Cricetulus griseus: one gene and its partners. The protein of the gene in region 1 purifies or fractionates together with the protein of each later gene. This does not show direct contact. Links are inferred from orthologs where the notes say so. Each region holds a gene or a part of one and is shown in the gene's direction. Other genes may lie near its edges. The genes, in order: Sf3a1, Snrnp200, Snrpb, Snrpd1, Rbm17, Snrpa1 and Phf5a.

What was found.
Region 2: the proteins of Sf3a1 (region 1) and Snrnp200 fractionate together in Homo sapiens (co-fractionation; 3 studies listed by BioGRID and IntAct, with this or other methods). This does not show direct contact. The link is inferred for Cricetulus griseus from reciprocal best matches to the Homo sapiens genes SF3A1 and SNRNP200.
Region 3: the proteins of Sf3a1 (region 1) and Snrpb purify together in Homo sapiens (affinity purification with mass spectrometry; 3 studies listed by BioGRID and IntAct, with this or other methods). This does not show direct contact. The link is inferred for Cricetulus griseus from reciprocal best matches to the Homo sapiens genes SF3A1 and SNRPB.
Region 4: the proteins of Sf3a1 (region 1) and Snrpd1 fractionate together in Homo sapiens (co-fractionation; 4 studies listed by BioGRID and IntAct, with this or other methods). This does not show direct contact. The link is inferred for Cricetulus griseus from reciprocal best matches to the Homo sapiens genes SF3A1 and SNRPD1.
Region 5: the proteins of Sf3a1 (region 1) and Rbm17 purify together in Homo sapiens (affinity purification with mass spectrometry; 4 studies listed by BioGRID and IntAct, counting the BioPlex papers as one, with this or other methods). This does not show direct contact. The link is inferred for Cricetulus griseus from reciprocal best matches to the Homo sapiens genes SF3A1 and RBM17.
Region 6: the proteins of Sf3a1 (region 1) and Snrpa1 purify together in Homo sapiens (affinity purification with mass spectrometry; 6 studies listed by BioGRID and IntAct, counting the BioPlex papers as one, with this or other methods). This does not show direct contact. The link is inferred for Cricetulus griseus from reciprocal best matches to the Homo sapiens genes SF3A1 and SNRPA1.
Region 7: the proteins of Sf3a1 (region 1) and Phf5a purify together in Homo sapiens (affinity purification with mass spectrometry; 3 studies listed by BioGRID and IntAct, with this or other methods). This does not show direct contact. The link is inferred for Cricetulus griseus from reciprocal best matches to the Homo sapiens genes SF3A1 and PHF5A.

The regions. Positions count from the first base shown.
Region 1 is NW_023276807.1:100,726,705-100,730,404, reverse strand, and holds part of Sf3a1 (splicing factor 3A subunit 1), read left to right. Parts: intron 1-669; coding exon 670-791; intron 792-3,700. UniProt on the Homo sapiens protein: Component of the 17S U2 SnRNP complex of the spliceosome, a large ribonucleoprotein complex that removes introns from transcribed pre-mRNAs.
Region 2 is NC_048599.1:51,367,660-51,372,129, reverse strand, and holds the start of Snrnp200 (U5 small nuclear ribonucleoprotein 200 kDa helicase), read left to right. Parts: upstream 1-1,627; coding exon 1,628-1,672; intron 1,673-2,089; coding exon 2,090-2,253; intron 2,254-3,491; coding exon 3,492-3,663; intron 3,664-4,470. UniProt on the Homo sapiens protein: Catalyzes the ATP-dependent unwinding of U4/U6 RNA duplices, an essential step in the assembly of a catalytically active spliceosome. Plays a role in pre-mRNA splicing as a core component of precatalytic, catalytic and postcatalytic spliceosomal complexes.
Region 3 is NC_048599.1:48,446,413-48,449,306, forward strand, and holds the end of Snrpb (small nuclear ribonucleoprotein-associated proteins B and B'), read left to right. Parts: intron 1-413; coding exon 414-566; intron 567-1,019; coding exon 1,020-1,158; intron 1,159-1,445; coding exon 1,446-1,571; intron 1,572-2,180; coding exon 2,181-2,191; 3' UTR 2,192-2,285; downstream 2,286-2,894. UniProt on the Homo sapiens protein: Plays a role in pre-mRNA splicing as a core component of the spliceosomal U1, U2, U4 and U5 small nuclear ribonucleoproteins (snRNPs), the building blocks of the spliceosome.
Region 4 is NC_048595.1:225,869,067-225,873,452, reverse strand, and holds the start of Snrpd1 (small nuclear ribonucleoprotein Sm D1), read left to right. Parts: upstream 1-1,559; 5' UTR 1,560-1,702; coding exon 1,703-1,716; intron 1,717-4,386. UniProt on the Homo sapiens protein: Plays a role in pre-mRNA splicing as a core component of the spliceosomal U1, U2, U4 and U5 small nuclear ribonucleoproteins (snRNPs), the building blocks of the spliceosome.
Region 5 is NC_048596.1:228,372,088-228,375,787, reverse strand, and holds part of Rbm17 (splicing factor 45), read left to right. Parts: intron 1-1,650; 5' UTR 1,651-1,665; coding exon 1,666-1,788; intron 1,789-3,700. UniProt on the Homo sapiens protein: Splice factor that binds to the single-stranded 3'AG at the exon/intron border and promotes its utilization in the second catalytic step. Involved in the regulation of alternative splicing and the utilization of cryptic splice sites.
Region 6 is NC_048596.1:131,213,742-131,218,100, reverse strand, and holds the start of Snrpa1 (U2 small nuclear ribonucleoprotein A'), read left to right. Parts: upstream 1-1,429; 5' UTR 1,430-1,506; coding exon 1,507-1,588; intron 1,589-3,374; coding exon 3,375-3,522; intron 3,523-4,359. UniProt on the Homo sapiens protein: Involved in pre-mRNA splicing as component of the spliceosome. Associated with sn-RNP U2, where it contributes to the binding of stem loop IV of U2 snRNA.
Region 7 is NC_048595.1:379,006,315-379,010,746, reverse strand, and holds the start of Phf5a (PHD finger-like domain-containing protein 5A), read left to right. Parts: upstream 1-1,529; 5' UTR 1,530-1,619; coding exon 1,620-1,671; intron 1,672-2,245; coding exon 2,246-2,269; intron 2,270-2,795; coding exon 2,796-2,962; intron 2,963-4,432. Other genes in the region: Aco2 (aconitate hydratase, mitochondrial), read right to left, coding at 850-885.

The DNA.
Region 1 (3,700 bases):
TTAGCCACTGGTCTGGTCTCTCTGGCTTTCCTGCTTCTTCTTTTTTTGTTTGTTTGCTTGCTTGTTTGGTTTTTCCAGACAGGGTTTCTCTATGTAGCTTTGGACCCTGTCCTGGAACTAGCCTTTGTAGACCAGGCTGGTCTTGATTTACCTGCCTGTCTCCCAAGTGCTGGGATTAAAGGCATGCGCCACTGCCACCCAGCGGCTTTCCTGCTTGTTAACAGGCAATCCTTAAGTGTTCATTCCAGACACAGTACTAGGTTCAGGGCTAAAGACATAGCCTTTTGGATTCTGGTTTCTTAGATTGTGGTCAACATCCTTGAGTCTAAATCACATGGACATTGGGTAAGAATGCAGATTTGGAGGCTAAGGATATTGTTCAGTGCCTTGCTTAGCATGTGTAAGGCTCTGAGTTTGAGCCCTAACTCTTTGGCAAGTAAACAAAAAATGTGTATCTGATCACACCAGATGTCTGTCTAAAGGAGAACCAAGGAAGCCATTGTTTTCCCTAATTCTTTGGAATGGCTGCATAAGTACGTATAAGAAGTCTGCAAGACAGAGTCGTGCCAGTTGTATCATGGAGAAATGCTGAGGGCTGGTATAGAGTTTATGACAGCCGAACCCAAACCAGGAACTTGAAGATCTTATTTCCTTTTTCTGTTTTCACAGCCAGTTGAAGAAGAAGCATCATCGAAAGAAGAATCCACCCCTTCCAAGCCGGTGGTAGGGATTATTTACCCTCCTCCAGAGGTCAGGAATATCGTTGATAAGACTGCCAGTTTTGTGGCCAGGTAACAGCTGCTTCTGTACAGTGGGTTGGGGAAAATTGTAGTGTAAAAGGCTTTTGAATCACCATAAAGACAGCATGGGTTTTTTTTTTTTTTTTTTAAGATTTTATTTATTTATTATGTATACAACATTTTGCTTCCAAGTATATCTGCACACCAGATCTCATAACGGATGGTTGTGAGCCACCATGTGGTTGCTGGGAATTGAACTCAGGACCTCTGGAAGAGCAGTCAGTGCTTTTAACCTCTGAGCCATCTCTCCAGCCCCCAGCATGGGGTTTTATAGAGGCTCTAGCTTAGGCTTGTTCTTCCAAAACCAAAGTAGGGCAGTGGGATAGGCAATAGACAGGACTGGTGTCTTTGGCATACCACAACAGTAACCACAGTGAAAGCCATACCCAGCTGTATAGTCACTAGGAGTTTCTGCTTCCAGAACAAACCTGAGGAAGTTCCTGGTAGCTTCTTTTAACTGGTGATGTGAGTATGCTGTGTTTGAGCTGCTGGCCAGAAGAAATAGAAAACAGAGTTGATCATTCTCATTGTATAAGGACTACTTTTCCACAAAGCCTCAGATGATCATTTATAGATGAGTCAAGCGAGATAGATAGCTGACAGGACTGAGTGAAGCTCAGTTATGTTGTAAACATTTAGTTATCTTCCTGGGCTAAGTGAAAATTGGTCAGGATTCCTCCCAGTGTCCTCATTCTACATCCTTAGATGTAATCTTTAGGACCACTTGACTCCAAAGGTCAACACATCCCCTGGCTTAGGTCATTTATAAAGTATTCTTTTGGCAATCCACAGATATATCCAGTCTACAGATGTTTTGTTTGTCCTTAGACTCTTTTTTTAAAAAATTCCTATTTCCACACTTTAAAATGAGGGGATTTCACAATCTGTCTGGATTTCTGGCTTTTCTTGAACTAGACTGCTTCTTACATGATAGTCAGTACTACTTGGCCCTGAACAGTGTCCAGGGGCATGTGCCGTATAAGGCCCACACTTACAGTCAGTCACTCCCCTGAGGTAACATCTCTACCACTTTGTATTATTTAATAGATGTTTCTTTCTCAATTTCCTAATCTAGTGAAATATCAAAAGAGATTCTGATTGACATCTTTCACAGTGTCCACTCCATGAGAGTTCATGTCACTTTAAGGGCTTTAATTAACTTGGATTTTCACTTAAAAGCTACCTAAGATTAGGGCATTGGGTGTTGTGTTTATTTGGCTAATGTTTCATAGCAAACTTAATGCCTTTCCCCTTTCTTCTGTGATTTTAGTAATTAGGGAAAGGATGTTGCATAAGCAATAAGTACAGTCTTAACTGTTGGGACAATTCCTGTACTACTAGCACAAGTGCTATCATGTCTTGGTTTTCCTTGTATGCTAAATTGTAAACTTCCTTATATTACTCCATGATTTCCCTCATGCTGCATGTTTTCTATGGAGAGGATGCAGGGTGTCCAGGCTATGTTTTCTTTAGATTGCTTCCAGGTTTCTGATTGGTCATTGAAGGTGTAAGAGGAGTTTGAACATTGTCTTTCCCTCTTAGAATTTTCTTTAGAAGAAAATTCCATGTGAAACATTAGTTGCTTAAGAGAGCACTAAAGAAAAACTGCTGGGGACTAGGGAGATAGCTCAGTTCAGTAAAGTGCCTGTCACAAAAGTATAAGAACTTGGGTTTGGATTCCTGGCATTTATGTAAAAGCAAGATTTAGCAATGCCTACATCTGGAAACCTCAGTACTGGGGAATGGAGACTAGCAGATTCCTGGAACCTGGCTAGGTAGTCTAGCAAATCTATTAGCTTCAGATTTGATGAGAAACCTTGTTCCTTCCCTCAAAAACTAAAGTGGAGCCAGTGTGTTGATGTATTCTGAAGACAGGGACATGTCAATCGGTGGAGTTTCAGGCCATCCTGGTAGCAATTTCAGGCCAGCCAGACACTATCTAAAATAAATATGTAGATAAATGTAAATAAGATGGGAAATGATAGACACCTCACATCAGCCCCTGGCCTGTGCGCATGGACATGTGTGCACAGGTGTATGCACTTAGAAACATCTCAATTTCTCACGTAACTTTCCAATAATTGTGTCATCCTCTGCTGCCACAGACAAAAAAAAAAAAAAAAGCACAACTGGAGTTCTCTTAAAAAGAAAACCCCATCAATGGTATAGTGATGCACACCTGTAATCCCAGTACTAGAGAGAACTGTTGAAAGTTGGAGACTAGTCTGGCTACAAGGTAAGCTCTATTTAAAAAAAAAAGAAAGAAAGAAAGAAAGAAATAGGATCTGGAAAAGTGCTCAGAAGTTGAGACCACCTTCTGCTCCTAAAGAAGACCTGTATTTGATTATTCCTAGCACAGGTCAGAGTAAATCACAGAGAATCTGAGTAAACACACACCACTTTTTTTTTTTTTTTTTTTTTTTTAAGAAAAGGAAAACAAAATGGATTAGAGCCAGCTGTGGCTCTTACCTTCAAGTCCCATAATGTGTGAGGTGGATCTCTGTGAGTTCAAGGCCAGCCTGTGAGTTTCAGATCTACTAAGGCCAAGACCTTGTCTACAAGGATTGATTATATAGCTTAGTGATGGAGTGAGTGTGTATCTTTATGTACAAGGGTACAAGTTCTATCTTTAGTAGTGTAAAAACTCCACCATGTTTCTAGATGGGTTTTTTAACGTGGTATTCTAAAGTCTGAACTTGTAATGGCTCAGTGGGTAGAATGCTTGCTATGCAGCATTGGGACTTGAGCTTGGATCTCCAGCATCCACATAAAAGTATAGTGTTGGGGATAAAGATAGGCAAATTCTTGGAGCCCACTGGCTGGTCAGCCTGTCTAACCATAGTGGTGAGCCCAGGCTCAGTACAAGACCCTGTCTCAAAAAAATAAGGTTGAAGATGATA
Region 2 (4,470 bases), on another chromosome or scaffold:
AAAAGCTACAAGATGCATGGCAACACATAGATGAATATAAATGGGTTAATTTAAGTTATAAGAGCTAGTGGGACAAGCCTAAGCTATAGGCTGAGCTTTCATAATTAATAAGTCTCTGTTGTGAGCTGGTGGCCCAAAGAAAAAGCTGTCTACAAAATAGGGTTGGAGATGCCAGGCTGTGGTAGCACACACCTTTTATCCCAGTAGTTGGGAGGCAGAGGCAAATTGGAGGCCAGCTTGGCCTCAAAAACAAATAACAACAATAAAAAATAATAATATAGAATAAAATAATAATAAATATAATATAAATATTTTGTTAGTAATATGTTAAGATATAATATATAAATATTCTATATATTATTTGCATTATAAACATAAATAATAAATATAATAATAATAACAACAATAATAATAGCATGCAGAGAAGTCTCTTCAGAGCAAGTTTGTGGCCTACCTGGACTCCAAAAGATCTTTTCTCAAAAGCCAAAGAAGGGCTGGAGTGATGGCTTAATGGTTATGAACACTTGGCTGCTCTTTTCAGAGGACCTAGGTTTCAACCCCACCACCCACAAGGCAACTCCTAACCTATCTGTAGCTCCAGTCCCAGGGGATTTAATACCTCCTCCTGGCCTTCTTGGGCTCTGCGCATACATGACACACAAACATACATTCAGACACAGATATACACGTAGCCAAAACACCCATATACATAGAATAAAACGAAAGTAATGATAAACAGATTAAACAATAAAAATTGCCAGCAAGATGGCTCAGTGGATTAAGACACAGGCCTAAGGGTCAGTTGTGCTTATTAAACCTAAAGGGAAAAGTAGAAATAGCTGTTTTGTTTTCAATGTAGAGAATTATTAAAAGATTAGATACCGCCATTTCATAAAATGTATCATTACTGCTTAATACATCTGAATAGTATATCTGAATAGACTTTTCATATATTTCTTTAGTAAATGTAGCGTTTGTGCCACATTGAGAACAAATAATCCGTATCTATAATCCTGACATGGACTGTGACAGATCATTGGGTGCAAATATTTCTTCCTTCACCTTCAGTCAGCTGCCACAGCGATTGACTCTTGAGGAAAAGCGTTGGGGGCAGCAAACATTTCCCCAATTTCTCAATACAGAAGAGAAATCCAGTCAGTTATTAGAAGCATGTTAACTTGCTCCTTCAACTTTCTCATCCTTAATAAACGGAGCTCCTAAGCTTCCGTTTGCCTGCAAGCATGCCTGCCTGCCTGCCTGACGGGACCGCTGGACTGAGAAAGCAAAAGTGTATTACAGAAAGGGACTTTTAACACCACACTAAAAGTGGCTTCGTGACTCTGCGTACGTATAGGTCCTTGGAACCATATTGCGCAGGAGCGTGTTTCCTAGGTCCACGGAATCCCTGACCCGGATGTATTACCTTCTGCAACCGCCACCTAGTGGCGGTGCGTAGTCGCCGGAAAGTATCACTTTTAGCGTACGTCCCGGAAGCGGAAGGGAGTCCGTTGCTTTTCTCTGTCCCGCACGTTTGTCCTGCGTCGTTCCTGCTGGGCCGGCGCGGTTTGTTGAGGCGGTTCGCAGCGTGTGGAGAGTGGAACCCTGAGTTCCCGGAGCATCGGCAGCCATGGCGGATGTGACTGCCCGCAGTCTGCAGTACGAGTACAAGGCGGTGCGTGAAGTCTCGGCGGAGGGCTGCGGGCGAGGGAGGCCGTGGGTAGCCACAAACACGGACGGAATATCTGATCTGGGTGAAGGCTGGATTAAAACACGACGGAATAACTCTAGTGGGGTTTAGGGCGCGTGAGGACTCGGGAGGTTTTTTCCCAGTCTCCTCAAACCGCCCCTTCCTACTCGTTATCCCCAAATCTGCTCAACACTTCACCTAATGTGGGTTATTGTGACTACTGTTAGGAACGTTGATCGTTCACTTTACCAGACAGTCCGGTGCTTGGCGTTTTATTATACTGTTTCTTCTTAAGGGGATTATTCCTTTTTCCCAGTATTTTTCCATCTTCAGGTGTCACTGTGATAACAGGAACCGAAGCTATTTATATATTAAAGTTTTGATTAAGTATGATCTTTTCAGAACTCAAATCTTGTGCTCCAAGCTGACCGCTCACTTATTGACCGGACCCGCCGGGATGAACCGACAGGAGAGGTTCTGTCCCTGGTTGGGAAGTTGGAGGGAACTCGGATGGGAGATAAGGCTCAACGCACCAAACCACAGATGCAGGAGGAAAGACGGGCCAAGTAGGTACCAACGGGGTGTTATATTTTCCTTGTAGTCTAAAGCGCATCTTGAACATTTGAGCAGTAGTTTTGATGAAGTACCTGTGGAAGATCAGCGGTGTTTGCACAAGAGAATGAAAACCTCTTCAAGGTTTAAAGTTTCTTTGGACTTGGGTGCAATGAAATGGAACAAAAATCTATTAGTACTTTTTGTTTCTGATTCATAGGTAGATGCTAATTTTCTTCAAGCTATTTTTTTCTTAAAAATCTGTTTCATTTTTAATCATGTGCATGTGTGTTTTTTTGTGAGTATGTGCACATGCATCCAAATGCCTGTGAAGGCCAGAAGACAGTTTGGAACATAGGAGCTGGAGTTTCAGGCAGTTGTGAGCTACCCAGTTTGGAGGGCTGGGAACTGAACTCTGATCCTCTGCAGAAGCAGTATTGCTTCTAACTACTTGAACCTTCTCCCCAGCCCCGTCACCAACTATTTTCCAGACCCTTGTTAATCTCTTGTCTCAGCAGTTCAGCCCCACTACCACTGTTAAAAGCTTCTTACCCTAACTCCCTCCGGTTGTTGTCCACTTCCTGATGCTTTTGTTTTGTTGTCTCTCCCGTTTTTTCATCTTGATAGATCCATTTCAAAAGTTGCATGTTCTCCTACTGTGCTTTCTTTCTCCTTTTTCTTTCTGTGAAGTCTTAACAGTCCCCAGGCCCTGTTTAGTTTGAGTGGTTATAATTGGGGAGAGTTGTTGAGACTTGAGAGAATTGTTAAATTTGAGAAGAAACATTCCTTGGTCCTTCACTTTTCAGAATCTGGCTTCTTTTCTAGCTGTTTATTGGGAGTCATAGAAGTAGATTCCCCTGGAGCCTAGCCTCTCTGGCTAATAAAAGGTTTTGTTTGTTTGTTTGTTTTTTAAAGTTGAAATACCATTATATTATCTCCTCATGAGGATAAAGAAATAAATACTTCTTCAAATGCTTAAAGTCAAGTGGGAATTACTTATTTTGATTCATGTTCCTGCTTGCACATATTAGATGTATAGAAAAGGTAAACTTCGGGGGTGGGGGGCAGGGGAGGAGGAGAGGGAGAGGGAACTGGGATTGACATGTAAATGAAGCTGGTTTCTAATTTAAAGTTGGTCTAATTGCAATTATAAAAAGAAAAGAAAAGAAAAGAAAAGAAAAGAAAAGAAAAGGTAAACTTGACTTGGGGGCGCAAAGTTCTCCCATTGAGCATCACACCCTGTGTTCATTAGGAGAAGAAAGCGTGATGAGGACCGGCATGACATCAACAAGATGAAAGGTTATACGCTGCTGTCAGAGGGCATTGATGAAATGGTGGGCATCATCTATAAGCCCAAAACTAAGGAGACGCGAGAGACCTATGAGGTGCTGCTCAGCTTTATCCAGGCTGCTCTTGGAGACCAGGTGAGGCTGGAACCAGAGGATGAGGCCTTGTGTTTGGAAAGAGAAAGGGTGATGCACAAGAATTTTGGTTAAATTATTAGTTACAAATATTTATTCTGTTTGTGGAAATCAGGACAACTTTCATCTGTGTGGGACTCAGAGATCAAACCTAAGTTGTTGGCCTTGGTGGAAAGTATAAGTTTGTTTTGCTTCTGAAAAGCATCTACCTAATCCCCCCCCCCCCACTTCTGGGGACTGACTCCAGGATCTCTCATGCTTTGTTTTTGTTTTTGTTTTTGTTTTTGTTTTTTTTTTTTTTGTTTTTTTTTAAGTTTTTCAAGACAGGGGTTCTCTGTGTAGCTTTGGAGGCTGTCCTGGAACTAGCTCTTGTAGACCAGATTGGTCTCTAACTCACAAAGATCTGCCTGCCTCTGCCACCTGCCTCTGTCTTCCGAGTGCTACGCTTAAGGGCATGTGGTACCACTGTGTTAAATCCTCAGCAGCTCCCTATAGTCTTTAATTTTTATCTTTTGGTTTTTCAAAACAGGATTTCTCTGTGTAGCCTTGGCTGTTCTGTAACTCACTCTGTAAACCAGGCTGACCTCAAACTCAGAGATCCTCTTGTCTCTGCCTCCTGAGTGCTGGGATCAAAGCTTATTTTTTAAATTTTATTTTATTTGTTTGTGTGAGACAAGGTCTCATGTAGCTCAAGCTGACCTCAAACTCACTGTGTATTCAAGAATAACCTAGAACTTATGGTCCTGTTGTTTCTCCAAGTGCCAGGATTACTGGCACATTGCCATTGTATCTTGTTGATGAATGTGATCA
Region 3 (2,894 bases), on another chromosome or scaffold:
GTTATGAGGGAGGTGAGGGGGCACCAACCAGCTCTTACTAGTTTTGAATTCCCAGTCTTTAGCTTTGCTTGTTTCTGGCTAGCTCTTTTAACTCAATCTCTTAATGTTTTGTGTTGGGGCTTTTTACCTTCTCTTTCTGCTATCTCTAGCTGTCTGGCTTCTGGTCCCAGGTGTGACCCCCTCTTTCTCCTCCTGTTCTTTCTTGAGCTTATATTTCTCCTCCTATTTATTTTTTCTGCCTGCCAGCCCAGCTTATCCTTTCTTTGCCTAGCTATTGGCTGTTCAGCTCTTAGACCAGTCAGACATCAGACATCCTTACATTGTTAAACAAATTCAGCATAAACAAATGTAAAACATCTTTGCCTAGTTAAAATAGTATTCTACAACTTTTTTTTTTTTTTTAACTTTTACAGACTGGTATTGCCCGAGTGCCACTTGCTGGAGCTGCTGGGGGGCCAGGTATTGGCAGGGCTGCTGGCAGAGGAATCCCAGCTGGTGTCCCCATGCCCCAGGCTCCTGCAGGACTTGCTGGGCCAGTCCGAGGGGTTGGAGGCCCATCACAGCAGGTGAGGCACTGGAGGAATACTACTAGTTTCTGGTAGCCAAAAGGATAGGGGAGAATCTGCAGCTTGACGAAGCGTCCAGATTGACCAATCAGTCTCCTAATGAGTTGTGATTGTCAGGCTATCAGGGTTTGTCTGAAGAGCTATACAAAAGGTATTCCAGCCAACTGAATTTAGCAAAATGTTCTTGTGAGAGTAAGTGTACTTTTCTTTTTCTATGTTACCAGTCTTAACTGCAAGTGCTTTTCCCAGGTTGGATTGGGAGCCCTTAATAATAATGTCAGGCTAAGAGGCTGGAAATTGGGCATTCAGGCTTCCTGATAGTATCCTTGTACATGGGGAGTCTGATGGTGTGAGTTGTAGGGTTAGGAGATTTCAGACTCAGGCAACTGGGGAGAAGAGTGGGAAGATGGATGTGTTGACTAGTGTTTTAATTCTTCTTTGTTATTTATTTAGGTGATGACTCCACAAGGAAGAGGCACTGTTGCAGCTGCTGCAGCTGCAGCCACAGCCAGTATTGCAGGAGCCCCAACTCAGTACCCACCTGGTCGTGGGGGTCCTCCTCCACCTATGGGCCGAGGGGCGCCTCCTCCAGGTAAATATCTTCAGAGGAGACCAGTACTAGTTAGTCACAAAATGCCTTAGCTGGATTCATGATGAAATAGATCCTTAACTGAAACTGATGATGAGTTTGTGTAATTAAGCAGGATTACTCTGAGATCCAGCCTGGCTGACTGAGTTGGGAACTAGCTGGATAAGAGCCATTAGGAGCCCCCTTTGCTTGTAGAGGCTGAGAGGATAGACTGGGCTGTCTGACTTGGTATACAACTTTGTATGTTTCCTCCAAGCTTTTAAGAGGTCTCTTGGACTTTTTTCCTTCAGGTATGATGGGCCCACCTCCTGGCATGAGGCCTCCTATGGGTCCTCCAATGGGGATCCCTCCTGGCCGAGGAACTCCAATGGGAATGCCCCCTCCTGGAATGCGACCTCCTCCTCCAGGGATGCGAGGTAAGTGCCTACAGTAGTGACTTTGGCTTTAGACCAGATCTGTTTTTGGGCCTCAAATTTAGGGAATTGAGCTCTTGGAGGATAGCTGTGTCCAGAAAGTAGAGAGGAGGGAGTAAGCATTAACAGGTTGGCCTTGCCTCCCTAGTGGAACAGAGGTATGTTCAGTGTCTAGTCCAGCAGCCCTGGATGTAAGATGAGAGTCCCTGAGATCACACTAGAGACTATCTGATGCCCTTGACTAATTAAGAGAGTCTTGCTGGGTATATACTGGCTCATGCCTTTAATCCTAGCATTCCAAAGGCAGGTGGATCTCTGAGTTTGAGGACAGCAGGTCTACACAGTGAGTCTGTTAAACAGAAAGCTCAGAGAATATCCTGACTACCAGCCCTGTGTTCTTTCCATGAAGTCATAGTAGGTCTTAAGATAAACAATGTTCAGATTTCATGACCATTTTCTTTCTCTTTGGTTTTGCATTTGTGTTTTTTATGGACATAGCCCAGTCAATCCATCCCTGTAGTCACTTGATAATTATCTGCAGACTGTGGGAAGGGGTGGTGGTGGGAGTTTGTGTTACAGATCAGGTTCTGACTAAACTTTCTCTTGCTTCAGGTCTGCTTTGATCCTCGAACAGCATTATGGCAGTAGCTCCACTGAGGTGTGGGTCCCATTCCCTTGGGCCGAGTTAATACAGACCTGTTTGTTGTTCATGGAGTCTCCCTGGATCGTCTGGTTTTCCTTTCAGGGCTCCCTCCCTGGGGAATGTGCCCTCCAAGGCCCTAGACTCATCTTGGTTCTCCTCAGCTCCTTGCTGTTTCCCAAAAGGCTGTACATAGTCGTGTCCCGTCCCCCCGTCCCCCCCCCCCCCCCCCGTGGCCTATGAAGCTGGTTTATAATAAACTCTTAAGAGACTGTTCATACATGCAGTAGATACACCCATTTGTCTTTAGAAAAGTCTTTGATGAGTGCCTAATAGTTAAGGGATTACTTTGAAAAACTAACCATACTCTTAGCTGCTTCCCTATAATATTTTATTGTTGTTTGGACTATAAGGCTTTTTATCCATTAAATTTAAAGGTCAGTTTTGGAAAGAAACGTTCATATGCTAAGTGTTGCATCACTTGGGTAGGCAGATCTGTATGAAGCAAACACTAAAGGTGGGGTACTCTTAGAATTTTTTCTCAGGGTCACACACATGTGCATACTGTAACCTGACTTTTAAATGGGATTGCCATGATTTCTTGTACTCACTTTGTTTAGATGGTGAGATTGTCAGCAACACTGTAATACTTAGTACAGCAAGACTAGTGGTGAACCATGGAAGTG
Region 4 (4,386 bases), on another chromosome or scaffold:
CTTGGCTGAAATCACTTTTTAGGGGGATGGAAGGTTAGAGATAGAGTCTACTCATATGGTACATGATAGCCTCAAACTTGCACCACCATGCCTAGCTCTGAACTAATTTTTGCCCTATTTCATAACCCACCTGTCTTCTAACCCAAATCTCAAGTTCCTAGGTGGTTTTCTTGATACCCAGGCCCATGCTTCTGTTGTAAGTCACCCATAAACTGCACACTGCAATTCTGGGCTTGCCTGCCTCCCTCTTTGGTTTCATAGGCCTTGGGACCAGTTCCCACACATCGGGACTGGACTATTTTGTGAAGGAGAAGAAGAAGAAGAGGAAGAAGAAGAAGAGGAGGAGGAGGAGGAAGAGGGGGGAGGGGGAGGAGGAGCACATCATATTAAAGCATAAGACTGGAGATACCGGATGTTGGAGAGTGCAATAAACAGATTTTTTTTTTTTTTGCTTTCAGACACTATGTTCTCCTGAGTTCAGTATAAGTAAATAAATAATTGTAAGTGTGGTGATATTTTGTTTGTGATCTAACAAAGCTTGCCTGCAGATCAGAGTGCAGAGCTGGCCACACTAGTTAGCCACAGATGCCAGGCAGTGATGGCACACATCTTTAATCCCAGCACTCAGGAGGCAGAGGCAAGCATAGCTCTGTGAGATCTGGGATACCCCGGGATACATAAGATTGATCCAGTTTAAAAGAGAAAAAAGAGCCAGATGGTGGTGGCTCACACATTTAATCCCAATACTTTAATCCCAGCACTAGGGAGGTAGAGACAGGAGTGGTGTGGCTGGGCAGAGAGAAGCCGGAGGAGACAGGAGTCTGAGGAGGCAGTCAGTCTGAGGACAGGATGGCCCCTTTGGTCTGAACATTGGTAGAGGTAAGAACTCTAGTGGCTGGCTGTTCTGCTTCTCTGACCCTTCAGTTTTTACCCCCTGTCAGCCGAGTCTGAGGCTTTATTAAGAACAATTAGAATTCATGCTCCATGTAAGAATCAAATATAATAAACTAATATTATCCAATCTTCTTGGGATAGTGGAAATTATCTGCACTGTAATCAATGATACATATAGATTTTGAGTAGTTACGATGTGGTTATTGCAAATAAGGAGTTGAATTGTTTTATTTAACTTCATTTGAAATATCCACATAACTTTTTAAGTCGAAGAACTTACTATATAATGAAGGTCTTATTTAAAACTGTCCTGAGAATGGCTTTCCTGTTTTTAAAAAGGTTCTCAGTAGCTCTGGGGTTATTACAAGTCCCCAAAGGAAAACTATTATATACAAAAATCTGATTGGCTCAGCTTAGTTGTCAAACCAACTAGGAGAAACTTGTCGGGCCGGTTCTCTGCTTCCAACATGTGGGCCCCAAGGATTAAAGAAGTCTTGGAGGGGTTCTCTCAGATCTTCTCTTCCTTCCAACTGTGAAAGCGCCAGGCCATTATAAATAGTTTTAAGGTGAATCCTCCTGCAGATGTCTTCCACCAGCCACGCCGCGCTCAGACGGCGCAAAGCACTCCTCCCGTCGCTAGGGGCCGCTGTGGTTGTCCCGGTGGCCGGAAGGCAGCGCGGCTTCCGCGTTTCCACCGCGGATCCGCAGGCCTCCGTGCGCTCTTCCGGCCATTCATACGCCTAGTCGGTGAGTCTTTGGAGCTCGAATTCCGTGTCCAGTAGGACCAGAGGGAGGCTGCGCCGCTAGGATGAAGCTCGTGAGGTGAGGAGGCTCTCCGGGCGGGCCGAAGGCGGCGGGGACAGGGTTTGGGCGGGCTCAGGAAGCCGGGCCTCTGCGCCCTCAGGGAGGCGGGAAAGCCGCGTGCGCGCGGCCTGCTAACGGCCCCCGCGTCCGGGCCCGCCGCGCCCTTCTCGTTGCTGCCGGCGAGGAGCCGGCGCGCCCCGGCCCTGCGCGTCTTCCAAGAATGGGGGAGCCGAGCGGTTTCTGCTCGCCTCGTTTCCTGCGGCTTGAACGGAGCCGAGGCCGCTTTCCCTGGCCAGTCGGGCTGCTTGCACGGACGAGAACTCCAAAGCAGCATGGTTTTATCTGCAAACAACGACGCCGATCTGCTAGACGTTTTAGATAAAGTTCTCCTTTATTTTGGATCGGTTGTATGTAACTGGTTAATGTTGGCTTTCGACTCACGACAGTGTCCCAGGATGGGGCAGAAGTTAAGTTAATTTCGCCTGATTGCAGATTGTGTCGGTTAGTGGAGCTTTGTTTGCTGGTATGAATACTTCCAAACCAAATAGGCATTAGGCAGAGCCCGAAACAGGGTTTAATGCCTAAGCCAGTTAGAAATATTTAGTTTCTTGTTGAGTCAAGGACTGCTTATAGTCACCTGTTAAAAGTAGTGGTACGAGATTTTTCTTTGTGGTTTTTCGAGACAAGGTTTCTCTGTGTAACAGCCCTGGCTGTCCTGCACCTCGCCATGCTGGCCTCGAACTCAGAGGCCTGCCTGAAAAGGATTCAGTCATTATGCTGGCCTGCCCCTGCACTCACACAGTAGTACCCTGGTCAGCCCAGATGCAAAGCATCCCTTTAAAAGAAAGGTCTCTGTCCACTTATGCTCTCTTACCCGCTTTTTTTTTTCCCTCTCTCTCTTTCCTGCTGTTCCCCTGGGGCAGACAGGACTTTTCTTGTCTTTCCTGTCCTCTCTCTGTCTCTGTGTCTCTAACCCCCCTTTTTTTCTAATAATCTTCTCACTTAAGTCCTACTGCCTGGCATGATGTCCTTTCGACTGGGTCATCCTTGCCTGCCATGGAATCCACAAAGGTCCCCCACGAACATTTATCATAACACTGCCTCTGTCTCCGGAGTGTTGGGATTAAAGGCATGACCCATCACCGTCGGGCTACAAGATTTCTTTCTTTTCTGTTTAATGCTGAAGGCAGAACAGGTAACATCTGGTCTGTTTGAAATGACAAACACTCTGTTCAGGGGGAGTTGGAAGAGAAAGCATATAAGGTTAAAAAAAAAATTCCACCTGTTCTGGGGATAGCGCCTAGAGAGCTTCCAATAATCGCTCTACCTTTGACTATAGCTCCAGTTCTTTTGTATTTGGACTGTAACATTAGGTAGAAAGTCTCACAATTTAAAGTATACTCTTGCTGTTTCCCTGCTGCCTGATGTGAACTATCATGTGTTTGCAGTAACTTAGGTTTTTCCCATTTAAAGATTCTGTTACGACAGCTTTGCTTTTGGGTGGTGGTACCTGGGGTGTTACCTCGACTTCCAGCTAGCGTCCTAGGCAAGTGCTCACTCTGTTACTGATATGAACCCAGCCAGGGCTACACAGAGAAACTTCTCAAACAACAACAGCAATGGTAATAATAAGTAAGAGAATTCACAAAATGAAGGATTCACTGAAAAATTGAGACAGGATGTCACCAGGTTGTCTAGAAGTCACTCCATATCCCAGGCTGACTTCAGATTTGGGATCATCCTACTGCAGCCTACTGAATAACTGAGATTACAGATCGGTGCCTACATGTCTTAAGGGAATTTTTTTTAGCAGACTGTTATCTCCTCACCCACTCCCTTGTTTCTGAAAGAATTTCTGCTTCCTGAGTGCTGGATTAAAGATCTTCACCCCCATACTTGGCAATATAATTTTTTTTAAAGATTTTTATTTATTTATTATGTATACAGTCTTCTGCCCGAATGCCAGCAGAGGCACCAGATCTCATTCAAGGTGGTTGTGAGCCACCATGTGGTTGCTGGGAATTGAACTCAGAACCTCTGGAAGAACAGTCAGTGCTCTTAACTGCTGAGCCATCTCTCCAGCCCCCGGCAACATAATTTTTTAAGGTGGGTTCCTTTAAAAGTTGCTGAAACGCTGGACCTGTCTGGTGGTTTTTTATTATTATTATTATTATTATTATTATTATTATTATTATTATTATTATTATTATTATTATGTGCACGGTGTACTCCCAACCGCAGGTCAGAAGAAGGCACCAGATCCCATTATAGATGATTGTGAGCCACCATGTGGTTGCTGGAAATTGAACTCAGAACCTCTGGAAAAGCAACCAGTGCTCTTAACCTCTGAGCCACCTCTCCATCCCCTGAGTGTTTGTTGTAGTCCAGTGTCACCTATAGAAAGGGCCTGCTGCTTTCCTTCATAGTAGAATAGTGGTGAGAATGGAACAGATAATATTACTTGTGCAGTTTGCTGTAGTAGTTTACAAAGGATATTGTAGAAAGATAGACTAGAAAATCTGAATATGAAGTGTTGTTAGATGCTATTGTAGGATTATCTTTCCATGGCCATTTGGCTAAAATAAAGCATGGGTGATGCTGTAGAATTATTTCACTGCATGTAATTGTGGTATTGTGAATTACAGACTAGGAAGTCAGAACATGAGGGGTCTGCTAGGTGCTGCTGTC
Region 5 (3,700 bases), on another chromosome or scaffold:
ATGGAGTGATAGAACAGCATTCAGGGAAAATCACAGGAATGGCTTGAGGAGCCTAATGATTTCCTGACCAGGTGCTGCCTTCTGTTTTAGTTGGTGAATTCACAGGAGCTTGTATTAGTCGTAATTGAAGTAATCAGTATTTATGCAAGCATTCTTTTACCATGATAGTCCAGTTCTGTAAACATAAAGGTCATTGGAAACCAGAAAGTCAAAAGAATATTCTTCATATCTACTGAGATGTAAAGATGTAATTTCATGAACTGTTACAGAAAACTATCAAATGCTCGAGAGATGACAATGGTTTCTAATACTTAAAGCATTTTTTAAGGCAAAGGAGAGCTAGTCGGATCACATGGAATTGTCAACAGACCATCTTCAGTTTAAAGATGTGAAATGAAATCCCAGTATCACAAAACTTCATTAGTTCAGCAATGAAGATTGCATTAGCCTTGAGTGGTGGCACATGCCTTTTATGCCACCACTTGGGAAGCAGAGGATCGATGAGTTTGAGGCCAGCCTGGTCTGTGAAGCGAGTGCCAGACACTGTGTCAGAGAGAGAGGGAGAAAAGTGGTATTAAATAGAATTTTTAGATAGAAGGTCTCTATTGGATACTCAGTTCCTCCATTGTTTGATTTTATTTTTAACCCTAAAATTAATGAAAATATGTCTGTCAGAGTTGACACTTTTGAGTAGGGTGATATACCAGTGTTTACTAGTGTTAGTCACTCCATCTTCATCCCAAGTGCTACCTATCTGTAAGCGCACAAATCTGTGGGAGTGTGCTGGTTAGTTTTTGTTGTTTTGGTTTGGTTTTTTCCCTCAACTTGATACAAGCTAGGGTCATCTGGGAAGAGGGATATGCCACTTGAGCTCCCTCCAAAGCCCCACATGTGGATGTTGTTAAACAGGAGTGTTTAAGAGACAGCACCTCTGTTACTCTTCTCTCAATAGTCATGTTTTTACCATCTCTTTTTTATGAATATGTGTAACTTAATGAGCTGTTTATTTAAGACATGGTCTCATGAGTCTTAGACTAACCTCAAACTCCTTATGTAACTTGGATGACATTGTGCTCTAGATCCACCTGCCCCCACCTTCCAAGTGATGGAATATCAAGCATGCACCACCACACCTGGTTTGCGTATGTTCTTTATAAAAGCAGATACCTATGCTGATCCAGCCTACAAACTGCTGCTTTCATAAGACTTCTACTTTCTGCCATTGAGATGAACAGTTTTTAAAGTGGATCTATATACTTAATAACGCCCCAAATGATACTTACTTCATTGCTGTTCTAGAACTGATTTTAGTCATGAATCATTTCACCACAGTCTTTTAGATTGAGAAATTAATTCTAGGCTGAATAGTGGCATTTCCCACTAGAAAGTATAGGCATAGAATCACAAATTCAGAGCCAGCCTTATCTTTGTGATGAGTTCAAGATCATCCTGAGCTACATGAAACCAGTCTTAAAAGAAAAATTAATTCTAGAGGACCGTTTTTAAAATAGTGCATGGGTATAGTTTTGCATATGAGAAAGAAATCTGCCTTTGTAACAGCAGGTGGTCCATGGTGCTGCTGTTTTAACAAAGTGGTGTTCAGAACTTGCTCTTGTTGCATATTATTTAGTCTGTTCCCCTGTCTTTCAGCAATAAACCAAAAAGATGTCCCTATATGATGACCTGGGAGTGGAGACCAGTGACTCAAAAACCGAAGGCTGGTCCAAAAACTTCAAGCTTCTGCAGTCCCAGCTTCAGGTGAAGAAGGCAGCTCTCACTCAAGCCAAGGTAAACACAGGCCCAGAGCAGGAGTGGGAAAACCCACTAAGAGAGTTCCTTGAGAAAAGTGGGGGCAGGAAGGTGAAAAACTGAAGTTACTTTGCTTCTCCTGGCTGTTGGGAACATCAGAACTGTTTCATGGAGTAGGAGTGAAGAAAAGCAGTGCTCTCAAAATTCTAAGCCATGAGGCTGGCTTTATGCTTGAGTATGTCAGAGACAGAACTTGTTTTGTTCCTGAGACTGCTTTCATAGCCACAGTCCTAATATTGTGGTAGTTCTGGTTCTAAGCTGGGTCCCAGGAATGTACATTGTTAGGCAGCATCCTGCTAGTTAATTTTTAATTGTAGGAAGCTTGGAAGCAGCTTAGTAGGATAATCAGATCCACAGTGCACATCCCGGAGGGCTCCGTTGTTTGTGAGCGTGTCTGCCATGTAGAGTTATAGATGGGAATTGCTCTTGTCTGTGTTGTATATGCGTTAGACATGGGCATTATCTTTGAAATAATTCAACTATTTCCTTGTTTCTATTTTTATTTTTTAGACAGGATCTCAGTGTGTGGCCTGAAGCTGGCTGTGTAGACCAGGCTAGCCTCAAATTCACAGAAATCCACCTCTGCCACTCTAGGGCTGGGATTAAAGGTGTGGGCCACCACAAAATTTAAAATATGGAAGGTATACTTGTGAACTGGATGTTTCTTAACTAAAATGCCCAGTGTATTTTAGAAATGAGAATACTTTGTTCAATTTTTGATGTTTCTTAGGTAAAGATTTTGCTCTTGTATGAAATACAAGATACACTATACATTGTATAGTGTATCTTTACCGAGGCTCCTTACAGAGGGAAGTAATAAAGGTTGAAGCTGAACTGGATAGCACAGCCCTAGTAATCCCAGCACTTGGGAGGTTGAGGTGAGAGTATCAGTCTGGTATATAGCATGAGACCCTTCCTCAAAAAGGGTGTGGAGGCTTTAGAAAAACTGCTTTGGAAATAGACACTGAAGGGTTGCAAATAAAATGGTTCCATTGGTGGCTAGAGAAGTGGCTCATCAGTTAAGAGCATTTATTGCAGTTGTAGAGGATGTGAGTTCAGACCCCAGCATCTCACAAACACCTCTAATTCCAGCGCAAGGAATCTGACACACTATTCTGACCTCTGTAGGCATGCATGTGGTAGACATAACACAGGCAAAACACTCAAAAATTAACAGTGTGTGTGTGTATGAGAGAGGCGGGGGAAGAGAATATAAAGTTAGTTTGTAAGTTGCTGCTTAGGAGCAAGAAATTAATATTTTCACATGAAGTCTAGGCTGTTTGTGGTTTTCTGCCTCAGTCTTTAATTTATGGGGTTTTTTTTTTGCTTATTGATATATACACGTATGTATGTATGTATGTATGTATGTATGTATGTATGTATGTATGTATGTGTTTTTCAAGGCAGAGTTTCTCTGTGTAACCCTGGCTGTCCTGGAACTCAGGGATCTACTTCTGCTTCCCAAGTGCTGGGATTAAAGGTGTGAGCCACCACACCCAGCTATATATTTTATTGTCAGCTATTAGCAAATATCTTGAGATTTTAGCAATATCTTGAGCAAATAGATTTTAATAGATCAAGGTGGAATATTACTTTAATATGTTGTTTCTTTTGGGCTCCTCAGTGAGTTTCTCATAGTACTAATCAAACTTGTAAAAATATTTGGTAGAGAAAAATTTTACTTGTATCTAAAAGATGAAGCTATGGTTTCATTTGTATTTCATTTTTGGAAATACCTGTTAAATTTAAAATAAGCAAATAAATGATTATCATAACCCCTGTTATGCAAACTTTGGGGTTTATGTTGTGATTTTGCATTTGTATGACATGTTGTTTGCTTAAAGCACTGTTAAAGCTTAGACTCCCTAATAAGAATGAAAGTTTGTACCAC
Region 6 (4,359 bases), on another chromosome or scaffold:
CCAGCCTGAGCTTCAGTGTGAAACCCTGTCTTAGAATAACCAAAATCAGGGCTGGGGATGTGGCTCAGTAGAGTACCTGCCTCAGCATGCACAGAAACTCAGAGTCCACTCCCACCACTACATGAGCTCAATCCAATCATCCCAGCACTTGGAGGTGGAGGCAGGGAGGTGAGATGTTCAAAGTCATCCCCTGACTTAGCCATTACAGCTCTTTCAGAGGACCTGAGTTCATTTCCAGCAACCACCTGTAACTCCAATCTCAGAGAATTTAGCATCTCTGAAGTCTGTGGGTATCTTCACCCATGTGCACAAAACCACACAGGTAATTTTAAAAAAAGATTTAAAGAATGCTTTTCTGCTTTTGCAGAGGACTGGAGTTCAGCCTGTAATACACATGTCCACAGGATTACAACAGCTAGTTCCAGGGAATCTCAGGCCATAAGCCTCCCCTGGCACCCACAAACAAGTGGCATATACACTAATTAATAAGCTAAGATAAAAAATAAGCGCACTAATTCGTAGAATTGGGTTCCTGGCCGTCTTTGGGGACAGAGGCCAAGGCTCTGCAGGTGTGTGTGTTCACTCTGTTGGCATTCATCAAATGTCAGGTTTCTGATGTGTGTACGCCCCTGCTCTTCATATGAATTTTGTTGCTGTTGTTGGTTTTTTTCAAGCCGGGTTTTCTCTGCATAGCCCTGGAACTCGCTCTGTAGATCAGAATGACCTGGTCTCATCTCACAGATCTGGCCTCCCAAATGCTGGGATTAAAGGCGTTCCCCGCCACGCCCAGTTTACAATATGAATATCATTTAAGCTTTATTTTATTTTTATGTTTGCGATTGCCGGTGTCCGAGGAGGTTAGAAATGGGCGACGAATCCCTGGGGCTGTAGTTACAAGCAGTTGTGAGGTGCACAACTGGGTACTGAAATGAGACTCCTTTTGCAAAAGTCTTTTGCAAAAGCAGCAAGTGCCCCTAACCTCTATGCCATCTCTCTGGCTAGCCCCTCGACATCAATACTTAAATGTCTAGACGCCGCAAGTCCACCCTGAGGCTTTAAGGTGACCATACTAGCTCGGATGTTGCCCATCTTAAGGCAGTCCAGCCGAATGGCCCAGCCTTGTCTCTGCTGGACCGCAAATCTTAGAAACCTGAATCCCTGAAGCTTTGGCGGAGTGTCCGCCCCCTGTTGGACAATCCCAAATACCCCAGCCTCGAGGTTCACTGAAGTGAGAGTGCCTCTCTCGTGTTCTTATCTTTTGGACACAAATATCTGGAATCTGGGCTCGCCACACTCCAGGAACGCACCAGCCAAGAAGAACCAAGAAGCAAAGACGACGATCGCAACGCCCGGCGGTGCCTTCGATCGATTGCTTTAGCCTGGTGGTCGAGGTGAGCGCCGCTCCGATTGGTTTTGTCTGGCAGCGCGGCGCGGTGCACCCTGGGACACGGCACTGGCGGGAGGCGCAGGCCGGTGGCCGAGGTGAGGGGACTCGGCGGCGGCAGGATGGTGAAGCTGACGGCGGAGCTGATCGAGCAGGCGGCGCAGTACACCAATGCTGTGCGGGACCGCGAGCTGGATCTTCGCGGTGAGTTAGGGGGATCGCGGGCTGTGTCCGGGCTCGGCGCGAGGCCGGGAGGAGCGGGCCCCGCCGCGTGCGCGGAGGCCGGAGCCTGGCCCGGGGGCCTCCCGCCCGGGTTTAGGGTACCTCCTCCGATCGCCGGTCCCTCAGGACCCTTTGGAGCCGTCTGTTACCCGCTCCCGCTAACAGACACGGCTTCTCCGTTCCTTCCCGGGTCCGTATTCGTTAGGCTTTGCCCGGCATGCTCAGCAGCCTGAACTGTTTGAGGGCCAGGAAAATAGAAAATGGTATCTTCCGGACCGCGACCGGCTGGTTTTTAGCAAATGCGTTAATATGACACGTGAGGGTAGATTAGATATAAGTCAAAGTTATCTTAATTATACAATAATTCCATTTTGGGTCTGCTCATTTGTTTTTTGAGACAGGGTCTCCTGTACTCAGAGCTGGCTTCAAACCGCTGTGTAGTTAGGGACGTTCTCGAACTTCCGGCCCTCTTGCCTCCACTTCCCGGCGCTGGGTTTAAACGTGTGCCCCATGTTTATATGGTGCTGCGGATGAACCCAGGATTTTGTTCTTGATAAACAAGCACTCGCCCCACAGAACCAGGTCCCCAGCCCCTGATAATTCACTTTTATAAGAAGGTGTTTTCTAGCTTGATCTGTTTGACCAAGGCTTATAGTCATCACTCCCATGTGAGGGGTGGTGAACACTAACCTGTTGAGTAGAGCTTGGTTTAAAAAAACAAAAACAAAACACAGCATTAGCTGGGCAGCGGTGGCACACGCCCGGCACTCGGAAGGCAGTGGCAGGCGGATCTCTGAGTTCGAGGCCAGCCTAGTCTCCTGTGTCGAATAAAACAAGAAAATGACAATAATAACAAAATATAGCATTGAAAGTGCAGTTATCTACTTTTCAGGAGATGGCTTTGAAAGGGGTTAGGATTATATAACTGTGTCATGAGGCAACCACAGTCTCGGGGACTATACTCTGCCATTTGCTAAAATGCCTTGCTGACCTATAGAAAATCCTAGTGCTTTTGTTAGACATTAGCTTTCTCAGACAAAAGTCCATTTCAGAGGTATCTGAACCCTTTTACTGTCTTGGCACACAGTTTTGGTCTCTGCTGCATCTCTGAAGACCATGCAGTCTTGATAAAGCTTATTTTATTGCGCTCTTTCACAACTGAGTGAAAGTTGTGTACTAAGTTTCTCTTCTTCCTTTGGCACCTAGCTCGATGGTTATGCCCATTAGACAATCAAGGGGATGTTCACAGTGTGGTTTGTGGTTGTATAGACACCATTTTCAGCTCTGAATTGGAGCTGGTGGAGAAGAGAGTGAGTCAGGATAGCATGAGGATATACTGCTGAGTTATGTGAATGGTTTAGAAGGCTGGTCACCAGTGTCCCAGCAAGACTTGAGCATTAACAGTAAGCAGTGTTAACTTGACATAGAGCCTGACACTCTTAAGAACTTTGAACAGTGTAAATACCTTGTAGATGTTCTCATAAACAGTGGACACCAATATTACTAAGTATACGCCTGTGTTCTTGTTCTTGCCTTCAACCTCCTCTTCAAGTTTACTGCATGACCACACGCTTCGAGGCAGTAAGGACCCTGTAACTCATTTGTCACTTATCTTCAGTATTTTTGTACAGAGTGTGACATGGCACCCGTGCCGGTTTAATACTTCTTGAATGAGTACTTTGAGTCTAATTACAATCAGATGCTCCTACTGTTTTCAGGACCTTTCATTTATATTAATATTTGCTGTATGTATTTTTCCCCTCTACAGGATATAAAATCCCTGTCATTGAAAATTTAGGTGCTACCTTAGACCAGTTTGATGCTATTGATTTTTCTGATAATGAGATCAGGAAACTGGATGGTTTTCCTTTATTGAGAAGACTGAAAACATTATTAGTGAACAACAACAGAATTTGGTGAGTGTCTGCTAGTGAGAATACTTTTCTACCTTGAAAAGATGTTACAATGTACCCTGAAGAAAGACATGATTTGTTTTTAGTTTTCATTTTATGTATATTAGTGTTTGGCCTGCAAGTGTGTCTGCACTATCTGTATACCATTGTGGTGCCTTTGGAGGCCAGAAGAGGGTGTGAGTTCCCTGGAGCTGGAATTACAGACAGTTGTGAGCTCTCATGTGGGTACTAGGAATAGAATCTGGGTCCTCCGGAAGAGCAGCCAGTGCTCCAGCCTCTCCATGTCTCTTCTTAAAGGGAGGAATGAATCGAGCACTTTTTCTAAGAGATTGGGAGACTAACGTGGGCATTGGTCTGACCTTACTTGCTATCTTCAGAGATCTTTAGTATTCGTAGTTGATACTAAACTTTGAATTTAAATTTAAAACATGTTGCTCTGTATACATTTCAGATTCTAGAGCAATTACCAACAGCATCATAATAAAAATGATTTATAAAAGTCAGGTGTAGTGGTGCCCACCTTTAATCCTAACAGTTGGAAGGCTGAGGCAGTCCAGCCTTGTCTCCACAGCAAGTTACAACTGATGCTACAGAGTGAGACCCTGTCTCAATAACATCCTTTTTGTTTGTTTGTTTTTCAAGACAGGTTTTTCTCTGTGTAACTTTGGAGCCTGTCTTGGAACTCACTTGGTAGACCAGGCTGGCCTTGAACTCACAGAGATCCTCCTCCCTCTCCTTGCCAAGTGCTGGAATTGAATATGTGCACTACCACCTGGCTGTTTATCAGCTTCATATAAAAATTGAATTAATATAGTTATTAAGGAAGGTTTCTCGTACCTG
Region 7 (4,432 bases), on another chromosome or scaffold:
GAAAAGCAACTGTGAATTTGAAATACTTTGTACTCTGACAACTACAAACGACCACACCCTGGTTCAGACAGTTCTGACATTAGGTTGCCATGAACAAGGAGAACAGAGGGTCAGCAGGGTCACTGCTCAAGCTATAGCACTATCGTGACACCGTGAAAGTCAGAACTTTCATCTACTTTTTTGCAGTTTTACTATCTATTGAGTTGGAAAAAAATCATCTGACATCTATGTTGCCAGAAATATGTAAATCAGGTTATATTAGTGAACAGTCTTGACATCTGGTGCAGAGAGGAACCACTGTTATCATGACTATGGACTATACTGGTGCTCAGAATACTCTACCCTTCTTGCATCTATGACCCCAGGTGTCCTCAAAAGGTAGTATTGGGTATAGCTTCTGCAGACTCCAGGCCCGAGAACCACACATACAAACGGCTGGCAAATCTCTGCTGTTAATGGGAAGTGAGGGCTTCAAGCACCTGGCTTAGAGGAACCCACAACCACCGCGCCCCCCAGTAACCTTGTCATCACCTTGAGAACAGAAAACCACACTGGGGGGAGCGGGCAATTCGGCCCTCAGGAAATGAGGGGTGCCCTCATCCTTTATCACACTGCGGATGCTTAGACTCAAGCTTCCCGCTGGGCGGGGACGGGGACTGGGCCTGGGAACTGACTGTGCCAGGGACACCTTGACCTAGGACAAGGCAGGAGCGGACAAGGACGCTGGGCCTGCAACCGGGACAGGTTCGCAAAAGTCAGCCCCAGGTTGAGCCCGCCTCGCGTGGCCTCGCCTACCGCCGCAGGCAGAGCTCCCCGCCCCCGTGAACCCACACATCGGAGCTCGCTCACCTGCAGCCGGGTCACCAGGAGGCTGTAAGGCGCCATTTTGTGCACTGACAAAGATGAGGTCGCGTGAAAGTGACGTGCCACAGGGCGCTTTTGAAGTGCTTGGGAAGGGGCGTGGCCTCCAAAGCGGCGCGTCACGGTGAGGGTGGGGCCTTCCTCCTCGGAGCCGGAGTCCAGAGAGCGCAGTGGGCGGGGCTTCCATGACGGGCACAGCGCGAGAAAGAAACTGCCAGCTTGTCAGTCTTTGCACTTGGGGACGGAGACGGCAGCGGAGCCAGGAGTTCAAGGTCATCCTTCACGCCTTGAGACTCAAAAGGGAACCCCCAGACCACATATTTTGCGGAAGCATGCGTGAGGCCCTGGCCTCAGCCCCGAGCACAAAAAGTACCATGTGTACAAAAGTTTTTTGCGAGACAGGTCTGGCTGGCCTCGAACTCAGAGATCCGCCTCCCGAGTGCTGGGACTAAAGGCGTGTGCTACCACCAACCAGCCATATGTAGGAATTTTATCCAAGACAAAAACACTTAGTTTATTCGTTCAAATCGGGAGGGAACAAAAACTTTATTATAAAGTCTTTGATGCACCTGCTAGGGGTCCAGCAAGTTCACGCTGAGAAAACTCGCGAGAACTAGCGAGATTTGGTGCAACGAAGGGCAAAAGCTGATGGGCACCTTGACGGCCAATCACGATGGAGAAGTGGGTGTAGGAACGGCGTAGGTTAAAGGTCGAGCGGAAGTTCTCTAAGCTTCCGGCCGCCGGCTTGGGGACGAGTGATGGCTAAACACCATCCAGATTTGATTTTCTGCCGCAAGCAGGCTGGTGTTGGTGAGTTGGCTCGCCGCTCCCTTCCGTTGGAGTGGGATGGTGTTAGAAACGGGAGAGTGGGGGGTTCGCTTCCTCTTTAGGGCCTGGCCTTGGGGGCTCCACGTTTCGCGCCTTGCGGTCCCTGGGTATTCTGGGGGTGCGCCCAGGTTTGTGACTTGTGATAAGAAGGCAGGATCGCGCGTCTGGGAGCCTGAAACTGGGGGCAGCGTCTGCGCTAGGTCTGGAGAAGCCGTCCCAGGTTGCTTTGAGGATTCCGGACAGGGCGCTGGTGCAAAGCAAAACTTAGGGGCTTAGGCCGGGCGTGGTAGTTCACGACTGTAATCCCAGCGCCTGGGAGGCTGAAGGCAGAAGATTGCTGGGGGTTCGAGGCCGACCTGAACTACATAAGAAGTTCCAGGCTATAAAACGGGAATCTGTTGGGAGGAGGGGCGTGGAGAGGGGAAAAAAAAGGATAATAAGACAGCTATTCTGCTCACTGTAGTCATTGCTACCTGCCCCATCCTCTATCCCAGCTTTGAGGAACAACTTCCTTGCTAAATCACCATTTTGATTTTAACTGTGTTTTTTCTTGCAGCTATCGGAAGACTGTGTGAAAAATGTGAGTGGAACATACCCTCTCACACATTGCCTTCTTTCTTTGTTTTTTGACGAGCCAACAAGCCATTTATTCCAGAGGAGCCCTAAAGAAGCATTGAGTGGATATGCCAGACTGCAAAGAACACTGAATCTCTGACTACAACCAAAGGCTCCCCACCAGACTCCCACTTTAGCTTGCATACTTTAATATTTCATACTTAGGTTGTGGGGGAAAAATACTTTTGGACAGTAAGAACTATCAGAGTAGTGTGAACCTTCCCAGGCCAATGTTTGTGCAAGAAGGCATGCAATTTGTTGATGATAACTACATAGACTTAAAAGCTCCTAGCTAACACGTCAAAACTCTTCCCATTTATATTTTGAAGGAAACTGAGGTAGATGGTAGATATAAGATAGGGTGGATGCTGTCAAGATAGAGAAAAGGCCTGAAGTCACAGTCAAAGGGAGACTGGTTATTTCACCCATAGAATAAAGATCTTTAGGAAGTAATCACTAGTGAATATAACTCCATTCCTCTTCCTTTGCAGGTGATGGCAAATGTGTGATTTGTGACTCCTATGTGCGACCCTGCACCCTGGTTCGCATATGTGATGAGTGTAACTATGGATCTTACCAGGGCCGGTGTGTGATCTGTGGAGGCCCCGGAGTCTCCGATGCCTACTATTGTAAAGAATGCACCATTCAGGAGAAGGATGTGAGTGTAGACTTGAGCATTCCCTCCTGGCCTTTCTTCCTTTTTCTTTGGACCATTTTGCCATCCATGTCCATCTCTTCTGGTCTATGGAGACTGCAATGTTCAGCTAGTCATGTAGGTAGAGGTTATTATCATCCTCCTTTTATACTCTGTCCCAGGCTATCTGACTAAATCTGGTGTCCACATTACATCATGTTATGCTTCTCTAAGACCTTCTTGGTGTGTGCTCATGATGAAGAGAGCACCCAGCCTCCTCAGCACTCCACATGTGGATGCTACCTACCACCAGTACCCGAAGCCAGATAGGGCTTTAAGGAGGGAGGGGGGTTGTTCTACGTGGTGCGGAAGGTGATCTATGATAGCTGCATTTTCAGTTTTGATTGACTTTATCATCAAATCTCAAATCGGGTCTTACCACATCCAGCAGATATTGATTGGGGAAGCCACATTTAGGCATTAGCTAGAGTTCCCAACTGAGAGCTTTTTCTCCATGGATGAGCTCCAGGCTTTTCTTACTGCCTGCATGCAGTTTATGCCACAGGACATACAAATGATTCCTGTTGGGTATATCCTCACTGTTCTCAGTGCTGCAGAGTTTGGTTGTGTTTGGTTTGGTTGAATTTCTTTGTTACATCTATTTGTGTGGGTGCATGTGGTATTAAGAGGACAGCTTGCCTGGAGTTGGTCCCACACACACACACACACACTAGTGAGTATTTTGGCCCACTAATACTTTTATGTGCTTACTGTTTTTCCCTGTCCTTCTTAGAGAACCAGATTGGTGCTTGGCCCAGAATGGAGTTTTAGAGCAGCTGAAAAGTATTGTTTACTCTGTTGAATCCACTATTGTTTGGGAAAAGGGGAATGTTGTTGATTAAGTATGAAATCATAATTTCAGTTGGTGGTTTGAACATTCTCCTGCCCTAAATGCTCTTTCCAATTCTTTAGACAACCAGAACTCGATTGTATTCTGTCTTCCACAGCTGTGGATTATGTCCTCCATCTTTCCTTTTTCTCGGGTCTTGGTAATAGTGCCTAATCTGTAATACAAGGATGGTGCTCTCTTTTTGGTACTGTGCCTATAAAGTGTTCCTGGGAGACACTCCCCACCCTGGGCATTTGTTATTTAGGAACTGGGAAGTACTGGGTGTAATGGAAAGAGGAGGGACACACAGTTCTCAAGCTAAAGGGTCCCTGAAGAGACAACACTTTCTTGAGCTTTCAGAAATGTCTAGAGTCTGTTTCTGACTTAAGCTTGGAACCAGAGGATGCTTGCTAAACAGTAATTGCCATCTCACTTGTCTGCATGCGCCCTGTGATCTGATACCTTTGGATCCCTGCCCCTCATTCTGCTCCCTGAGAATTATTTTGGACATCACTTCACCTACTTGCCATTATACAGGAACGTTCTGAGGACACCTGAGCTCAAGCTCACAATTACTCAGCACTAGTTTCCAAGGGACACAAAGC